Linked DNA regions of Cricetulus griseus. The protein of the gene in region 2 purifies or fractionates together with the protein of the main gene of each other region. This does not show direct contact. Links are inferred from orthologs where the notes say so. Each region holds a gene or a part of one and is shown on either strand. Other genes may lie near its edges.

Region 1 (4,126 bases), on a different chromosome or scaffold from region 2:
CCAACTGATCCAACTGCCCACACCAGGGCATCAGATCATTCAAGCATGGTACGGATTTGACAACAGGCAGTCAGAAATTACTTAGAGGCCTGGGGGACACGAAAAACAAGCTGCTGAGTGAATGAGCACCAAACCTCAAGTGGCTAAAGCTCATAGACACCCTAAGCAATCTCTTGTTTCTTTTTTGAAACTCAGGGTCTCACTCTCACTGTGTTACCCAAGCTGGCCCTGGACGCCTTAACAGCTGATTACAGGTGTCAGCCTTCCATGCTGTATCTTTCAGTCTTAGGTTCTGCTCTAGAACCCAGACAGACAGAGGCCAAAAACACCAGACCAAAATCTCAGTCCCCAAAGAGCTCAGGATCAGGTCCAGGCAGACCATACTACTGTATCAAGATGACATTTCCGGTTACCAGGAATATCCACACCCAGTCTGCAGGAATAAGTACTCTGCCCGCCCTTGCCATGTTTGAGCATCCGGTCATTACGTTTCTTAAACAATGTCATTATATCAGACATACAACAGCCTACCAGGAAGATCACTGTCTGGAGCCCGCCAAGCCACTGCTTCCACTGGCCAAGAGTGGTCCATCCACAAACTGAGCAATGCTCTGAATGAGATGCAATGAATGCCCCAGCCTCTCTTCACCTGTCAGAAGATGGTGACAGGGGAAGCATAGAGGACTCTGGCCACTCCACTCCACTCCACCACTATCTCTGGCTTTGGCTCCCGGAGCACACATAGAAAACTTCAGTTGACTTTTAAAAGTCTCACCCAAAACTGTCCTAGACAAGTCCTTCCCCATGCGGACTAAGGCCACAGTCCAGACCCCCAGGCCAGTTTTCAAAGAACAATAGTATGACAGACAGTCTTGCCTACATTTTAAATCAATATATAGAAAGTTTATTAGCCAACCAGAATTAGGCACCCTAATTCAGTTGCTACACCCTTGATTAAACAAGGAACAGGGTTCCTCAAAACATCTAGAGCTCAAAGTCCACTCCCAAACATCTATCATCAGCAGGAGGGGAGCCGACCACAAGGCTGTGAGGCATGCAGCAGGTGGATGGCCTTAACTGTCCACTTTTCAAGCTTCCTTGACCATTTGAGGCCCTTCCATCTAGGTGCTGGACCTGCTCTGCAGAAGGTGTCCAAGTGGATGGGGGGCAGGGTTATGGGGGGACACCCCTAAGGCTCCTCAAATAAGCTGCTCACACAGTGTGCCTGCCTTCATTACCAAAACACACACCAGGGTTCAACCAGAGGGAAGTCTCAGCCTGCGAGTTTTGCTCACCTGTTCCGAGACACCTCCATAATCAGAAGTTCCAACCCTTACAAGCTGACAGTTCAGGGGGAAAGGGAGGCTTCGCCTGCTAGGGTGCATCGTATCCAGGCCATATGTTGGTCTCTGAGCTTGGTGTCCCCCCAGCCCCCATGCCGCGACCTCACAAGAGCGATTATGCGTTCATCCCTGTCCACTCGGCTTCGTCACCGTCAGCACTCTGCTCCCCTCTCAGGCAGGGCGGCCACGGGAAATGCCCTGGTCTGCCTTCCGGGCACACAGATGCCGCCCTTATGCCTCTTGCTCGCTCGCTCATTCCGAAGCGAAGCAGCCTCCCCAAAGGGGCAAGTCTCAAGTATAGGAAAGCACAGTACCCGGACCACCCCCACCCCGGCTGGGGCTCTCCCCCGCTTGCCAGGGACTGCCAAGAAGGAGCGTCCTAGGAACAGGGGAGGAGACACCTAGGTCGGGAGCAGGACACCAAGCAAGCAGAGTCTAGATGGGAGGGTGAGGATGAGAACGGCGGGCTGACGCAGACTAAGCCAAGTCGTGAGAAGTCTGGGGGAAGGGGATCGCTAGGGCCAGGGCCAAGGAGGTGCAGGTGGAGGGCACAGCAGGAGTAGAGTCCAGACTTGAGGACCACGGACAGAAGATTCCATGGGGGTGAAGGAAACAAACGTAGGCTAAGGCCACTAGAAAGGGGTCGTCGGGGTCCAGGCTGGGGCCATGGAGAGAAGAGTTTGAGTGGAGGGGGCCTAGCATAGGTCGCAGCAGCGAGAAGCACCATCCTAGCCTGGGCCCTGGGGCCGAGGTAGGGAAGCCTAGCTCAGGCCGTGGGATGCGGGCCTGAGAGAGGGGTGCCTGGCCCGGCCTCTAGGGGAAGGAAGGTCTAGCCTGGGATCCTCGAGACTAGCCTGGACATGCCGGGGAAAGAACCCGGCTCCACATGGAGCCCAGGGCGGGGTCACGCACCACCCGAGCCTCCCGCCGACCCCTCCGGACCTGAGGGGTGGCGTCTGCCCAGGGTCCCGGACCCCACCCCTCCCCCACCCCGGGTCCCACCCTCCCCGAGCCGGCGGGTCCGCGGGGTAGGAGACGGGAGCTCCCGAGGGGGGTCCCGGGATGGGGCCGTGGAGGGGGTCCCTTTACCATGGTGGCGGCGGCGGCGACGGTCCCTGTCCCGGCGTCTGTAGCTCTCCCCCCCGCAGCAGGGCCCGGCGCTTCCACTTCCCCCGGGTGCCCAAGAGTGAACATCCGGGTCCGCGCCCCCCTCCCCCCCACCCGCGCCGGCCGCCGCCACCTTCCTTCCCCGCCAGCCACCCCCCCCACGCCGCCAGCTCGCGGCCAATGAGCGAGCGGGGCCGCGGCGATCGCCAAGTATGGAGCTCTGCGCGGGGGGCGGGGACGGGGGTGGGTCCTGTGGTCGAGTGGGCGTGTTCTCATGGGGGAGGGCGGGCCCTACGCGGGCCAGGCGCGTTGGTTCCGTAAGCCCGGGGCTCGCGCGTACCGGAGGGACCTAGGCGGCCGTGGCACCCTCCTGCTGCCCACTTCGCCATCTAGCATCTGGAGGACACGGGGTACCTGAGGGTGGAGCGGTTCACTGGCCCCCCTGGGCGGAGGATGCGGAAGGCCCTGAACTAGGAGGGGACCGGCCCTCCGCGCCCCACCCGGACCCGGAACTGGTGCGCCAGAATGGGGCCCAGCCCCTAGAGCGCTAGCGGAGCCTGCACTGGGACGCCGGCGCTGCCGCCCCTGTGGCTGAACACCCGCTATCACGACCGGGGAGGCAGCCTTTAGGTACCAGAAGATGACAGGAGAATAAGCCTGAAGGATCCCTGCCCGCACTTCCTGGCTACCAGACAGGGTGGTCGTGAGGAAGACGCGGGTACAAAGATAGAACATTTGGGTTCAATAAATGCTGGCTGTTAGATATACTTTTCTACATTACCTGCAGAGAATCAGCCTTTTTGCCAAATGAGTCTTTTCCTCGCTCCATCCAGTGACTCAGGAATCCCTCTTTGTTTTCACAACTGAAGATTGAACTAGAGCCTCATACTTGCTACGCTGATGTTCTTACACTGAACTGAAGTCGCAGCCCTAGAAATGCACTTTTCAAAATGCTTTGTTGAGTTAATCTAGACTGCAAATCTTGCTCATAATACCTACCTACCAGACTTGCTCACCTTCTATTTAAAATCAAATCAGGTCGTAGGTGGGAGTGGGGATCAGTAAATTTCATCCCTGAAAGATTATGCCCGAGGCCTCTGAGCTCATAAACAAGTGAGAGCCTTCAGGAACAGCCAGTGAATGGTTAAGTCCCTCAAGAGTGGCAGTAGACCAGTATTACAGGAGGTCAGAGAAGGGAGTGGCACTTAGAAAGTCATCACTCCATAAGTATTTATTGTGTAACAATTGGCCAAGCATTATGCAGACTATGGAGATTGCAGCTATGGGCAAAATATCTCATGCTAGCCTAGAGTTTGTAGGTGAAATTTCGCTTCAGGAGATGGAGCCTCCTGCAAGCTGGATATGTACACCTGCCCTGAGTTAAGGCGCTGCTGAGCTTGAATGCTGTCAGGAGGTGAGTTAAGAAAAAGCATCAGAGTGGATGGAGGAGGTAAGCAGAGGTAGCTAAGCACTGTGTGGTGGCATTTGGGAGGATGGTCCAAGGCAGCAAAAGATGGGAGTGGAGTGTACACACAGCCCCAAGGGCAGAGACACCCCCCCCATGTATTCGTAGACAGCAAAGAGGCCAGTGGCCATTCTGAATTGTGTTAGCAGAAAGCTTCAAGAACAGCTGCAAACTATGACCTCCCTCCAAAAAAAAAGACTGTGAGCCTCTT
Region 2 (4,126 bases):
AAGTTTCTTGTTCTTTGATCTCAAGATGTCCCCTGTATTATAGTTACTTTGCTCTCTGTTGTAAGCAATTGCTAGACAAGATGCAATGTTAGGGGGGAAGGGTTTAGTCTGGCTTCCGGTTGGAGGGATGTCCACCATGATGAGGAAGGCACCGCTGTAAGAATGTGATCCTGCTTGTAGGCCACTCGCCTCCACAGTCAGAAAGCAGAAGGCTTTGCATGCTCCTGGTTCAGCCAGCTTTCTCCTTTTTATACAGCCTGGGGTCACAGATGATGCAACACTGTGGCCCACATTTAGAGTGGGTGTTCCCATCTCAATTAACCTAATGTAGATAATTCTTGACAGACATGCGCGGAGATTTGTTTCTAAGGTGTCTCTAGATCCTGTCAAGTTGACACTTTAAACCATCACATAGCTTGTGAAGGAAGCCATAGTCCACCGGATGCAGGGAATATTGTCTACACAGAGCCAGGGCTGCAGGTCATAAAATTTGCCTGGTTCAGTTAGAGCAATGTGAAATGATCCCACCAAGTTTCCCCTCTCCACTGTGTCTGCGAGGGCTAGGAATCAGAACCCTATGGTCATTTAAGGCAGCAGGGACTCAGACCCATCAGTGCAGGGGCTGGTAAGGACCAGTTTCCTTTGGCTGTGGGCCTATGTGTATACTCTGTAGGTGGCCTTCATCTGATTGATCCTAGTCTTTTAGCTTTTCCCATGGACCAGTAAGCAGCTCCTGAAAAGAGCCTTCATGACACACTCTCTCCTGACACTTTGCCCTTTGTGCAGGACAGAGGGCAAGGTGTGCGGGTGTTGAGGGCCTGGAGCTCCTCGAAGGGTTGGTTCACCCCGCTTGATCTGGCTCGGCTCACTCCTGCTCTGCTAGGATATACTCTGGTCTGACCCACCAACTCGGCTTAGCTTTAACCAGATTTAGGTTCTGCTCGCACTCCCTTGACTTGGCCTCACTCCAGTAGGAACACCCTTTCTATTCGGCTTGGCTTGGTCCGGCTACTCCCTCTCCAGACTGGCTCGGCTCTGGGGTCCGGCTGGGCGAGGCACCATCTGTCTGTGTTCCACCCTGAGCAACCGAGCCGGGATTTACTAAGGCTCACCCGCGTTCCAGCTGGCCCCACTAGAGTAAGAACCCAGGTTGGGCTCAGCTCGCTGCTTCCAGCAGGGCTCACGCTAAGAACCGCGGGGATCCAGGTGCCCCGCTAGGTTTGGCTCCGCCCTTCTTGGGGGAGCCACGCTCGTCCATCCCTTATTGGCTCAACTCCACCCCTCTCCACTCGACGATTAGTTCGGCTCCACCCCAAAGTTCGCCTAGCTTTGGTGGTCTTGCTCCGCAAGACTTCTCTGGTTTCTGCCCGGCCGGGTCCAGCTCAGCTCCACCTATCTCGTTTCGCCCGGGTTCGGCTCGGCCCCACCCACCTCGCTGGTTCCCGCCCTGATCGGCTTAACTCCACCCATCGCACCTTCTTGACTCCACCTCTCTGGTTTCGGCCTTGTTCGGCTCCGCTCGGCCCCACTCGGTCGAGCAGGAGGGGCGGGCGACAGCCCTGGAAGTGACGCGGCGAGGGCGGGCCCGAGTTGTAGCCTCGGTCGCCGCCTCTCGGGCCGGGAAACGATGTAGGAGCCGCCAGACGGTCCCCAGCTCTCCCCGGCCCGAGCTCCGCGGCCTGTCGCCGCCGCAGCCGCCGCCATGAAGAAGCAATTCAACCGCATGAAGCAGCTGGCTAACCAGACTGTCGGCAGGCGAGTGCGCGAGGGCGGTCCTGCGCGCGAGGAGCCGAAGAACGGGGAGAGCCGGGCGCGGCCGGGCCTGGGCCAGCGGGGCGGGGGTCTGCGCCAAGCTGCGGCTTAAGCGCTGCCCATTGTCCTGCCCTAAGGACCATCGCCCTCGGGGGACCCACGCGAGCCCTTACTCCTCTCTGTCCCCGCCAGCCCGAGCTTGGCGCCTGCTGCGAAAACTCCGCAAACTTGTGTTCCTAACGCAGTGCCAGGCGCGCCGCTTTGGGGGCAGCGTTCCCAGGCTCTCCCAGTCGACCCGCTGTTGCAGCCTTCCTCCAGAAGAGCTTGCTGGTCACAGGGAACTGGAGGGGTGTTAATGCCAATGAAGTTCAGTCTCCCAGTGAAGGAATAGAGACGTGCAATCTCAAAATCCAGGCTATTGGGAACTTGTTGCGAGTTCTTGACGTTTACAAGTTTGGAAAGGGAAAAGGATGTCTTTTCTCCTCTTGGATGCGGAAACAGATATTTTGTTTCTTTGATACTGCTTGAGTGCTTGATAGGAAACATTGTTTTTTCTTTCTTTTTTTTTTTTTTTACATGAAAAGATACAGGAGAGACTGTAGATGAGTAGGCTGTGGAACAGGAGCGATTTGCGGTTTTTAAGAGCTTCAGGAGGCTGTTGTCATGTACTGTGCTAACTGTAACAAATATTTCAAGGTCTTGCAGGGCAGATAGCTGTGCTGAACCACTTTGCTGTTTATTCTGCACGGAGATAGATGAATTTTTCACAGCTCTAACGCTTTCTCTCCTCCCCTGGCAGTTAAGGGGAGTTTGGTTTGGTTGAAGCACGTGAGACACTTCTTTTTTTGTATATGTAGGAAAATACTTTTACTTCCTCTTGAGTTTTCTAAATTTGCTTTTTAGAATGTTTCATTTCCCTCAACTTTTTGCTAGGTTTTGTTACTGAGTTTCAAACAACAACAACAAAAATAACTCATGTAATTTTGGTATGCATTATCCTTTATCTAGAATCAGTCCCTGCCCCTTAAACCCAGACATGCCTACTTTACTGCTGCTTGTAGAATTAAAGAAAGAGGAAGATCAAGACAAACAATCCCAATGGCTCAAATGAAAAACATTATGAGAAATAATTTCTTCTGAGTTGTGCACCCCTTTCTCAGCCATGCATGGCAGAATCAAAACTTAGTGAATACCAAGATATATTTGTTAGGTTGCTGTTTATTTACTTATTAGACTGCTTTGTATTGTGTGGTACAAGGGACAGTTGCTGAAAGCTCTGTAGGGTTCTGTGGGCTCCTGCTTCCCCTTAGCTTCCCTTCCTACTTTTACATTCCAGCCATACCTACCCACTTTCAGTTTCCATGGGAGGCCTGTGTTTCTTCTGTATTATTCTCTTCCTGGACATCCCGGAAGCCTTTTTCACCACATCTAGCTGATAGCTACCTCTTTCTCATTCTTCAGGTCTCTCAGTGATAGTCTCTGTGCCCTATGAAGGTCCTTGGGGCATAATACCATACGCTGCCTGCTTTCTAGACTCAAACTCCCTCTTTACCTGTGTGTGTTGGTTGTTTGACTAAGCACTCTTGAGTGTCTTTCCTATGTGTCTTTGGTTCCCACGATTTGTGACTCCTATCTCATGACAGATAGCCTGTTGAAATTGTTAACTTCAGGAGTCTAGCTCTTACTACATTGCCTGGTGCTGTGGTATTAAGTTTGGGAAAATGTGAACAGGATAGAGTGGTGGTGATTCATACTGGGACAGTAATTCCGGCCCTGACCTTTGACTCTTTGAAAATCTTTATTGCTAGATGCCAGTGGAAGCTGCAGCTATTGCAGAGCTCTAAGGGTGTGGCAGCTATGAGACTCAAGTCAGAACATCTGTTTTTATTGGGGAGAAAACCTGTTGCTCTCTAGCTGTTGATTTCCTAGATCTCGATATCTCCCTCCCTCCCTCCCTCCCTCCCTCCCTCCCTCCCTCCCTCCTCCTGTGTGTGTGTGTGTGTGTGTGTGTGTGTGTGTGTGTGTGTGTGTGTGTGTTCCTATTTAAGTAACCCTAAGGGGTAGAAAGAAAAATAGATGACAAACCTGAGAATTATTATTGAATGGAGCCAGATGATTGATAGGCACCAGAAGCAAATACGGGTGTATTTGAGTAAAGATCTTTTCTAGCACAGATTTCTCCCAGCTGTGATCTGTATAGAGAAGGAATTTATATATGTGAATGCCCACTGTTTGTTTATCAGTGTATAGAGTTGTAGATGGTACCTTCTGGTGAGGTATTCCTGTAGGATGGAATGGCTCGTGAGTAACTCCACCATGAAGTTTCATAGCACCAGTAAGTGGAGGATTAGCAGTGCCTAGAAAGAATGAGCTG

The links. The genes of interacting proteins can lie anywhere in the genome.
Region 1: the proteins of Arhgap17 (region 2) and Capzb purify together in Homo sapiens (affinity purification with mass spectrometry; 3 studies listed by BioGRID and IntAct, with this or other methods). This does not show direct contact. The link is inferred for Cricetulus griseus from reciprocal best matches to the Homo sapiens genes ARHGAP17 and CAPZB.

The regions. Positions count from the first base shown.
Region 1 is NC_048595.1:14,117,520-14,121,645, forward strand, and holds the start of Capzb (F-actin-capping protein subunit beta), read right to left. Parts: upstream 2,553-4,126; 5' UTR 2,538-2,552; coding exon 2,433-2,537; intron 1,401-2,432; exon of another isoform or gene 1,386-1,400; coding exon of another isoform or gene 1,296-1,385; intron 1-1,295. UniProt on the Homo sapiens protein: F-actin-capping proteins bind in a Ca(2+)-independent manner to the fast growing ends of actin filaments (barbed end) thereby blocking the exchange of subunits at these ends.
Region 2 is NC_048596.1:77,347,866-77,351,991, forward strand, and holds the start of Arhgap17 (rho GTPase-activating protein 17), read left to right. Parts: upstream 1-1,565; 5' UTR 1,566-1,702; coding exon 1,703-1,755; intron 1,756-4,126. UniProt on the Homo sapiens protein: Rho GTPase-activating protein involved in the maintenance of tight junction by regulating the activity of CDC42, thereby playing a central role in apical polarity of epithelial cells.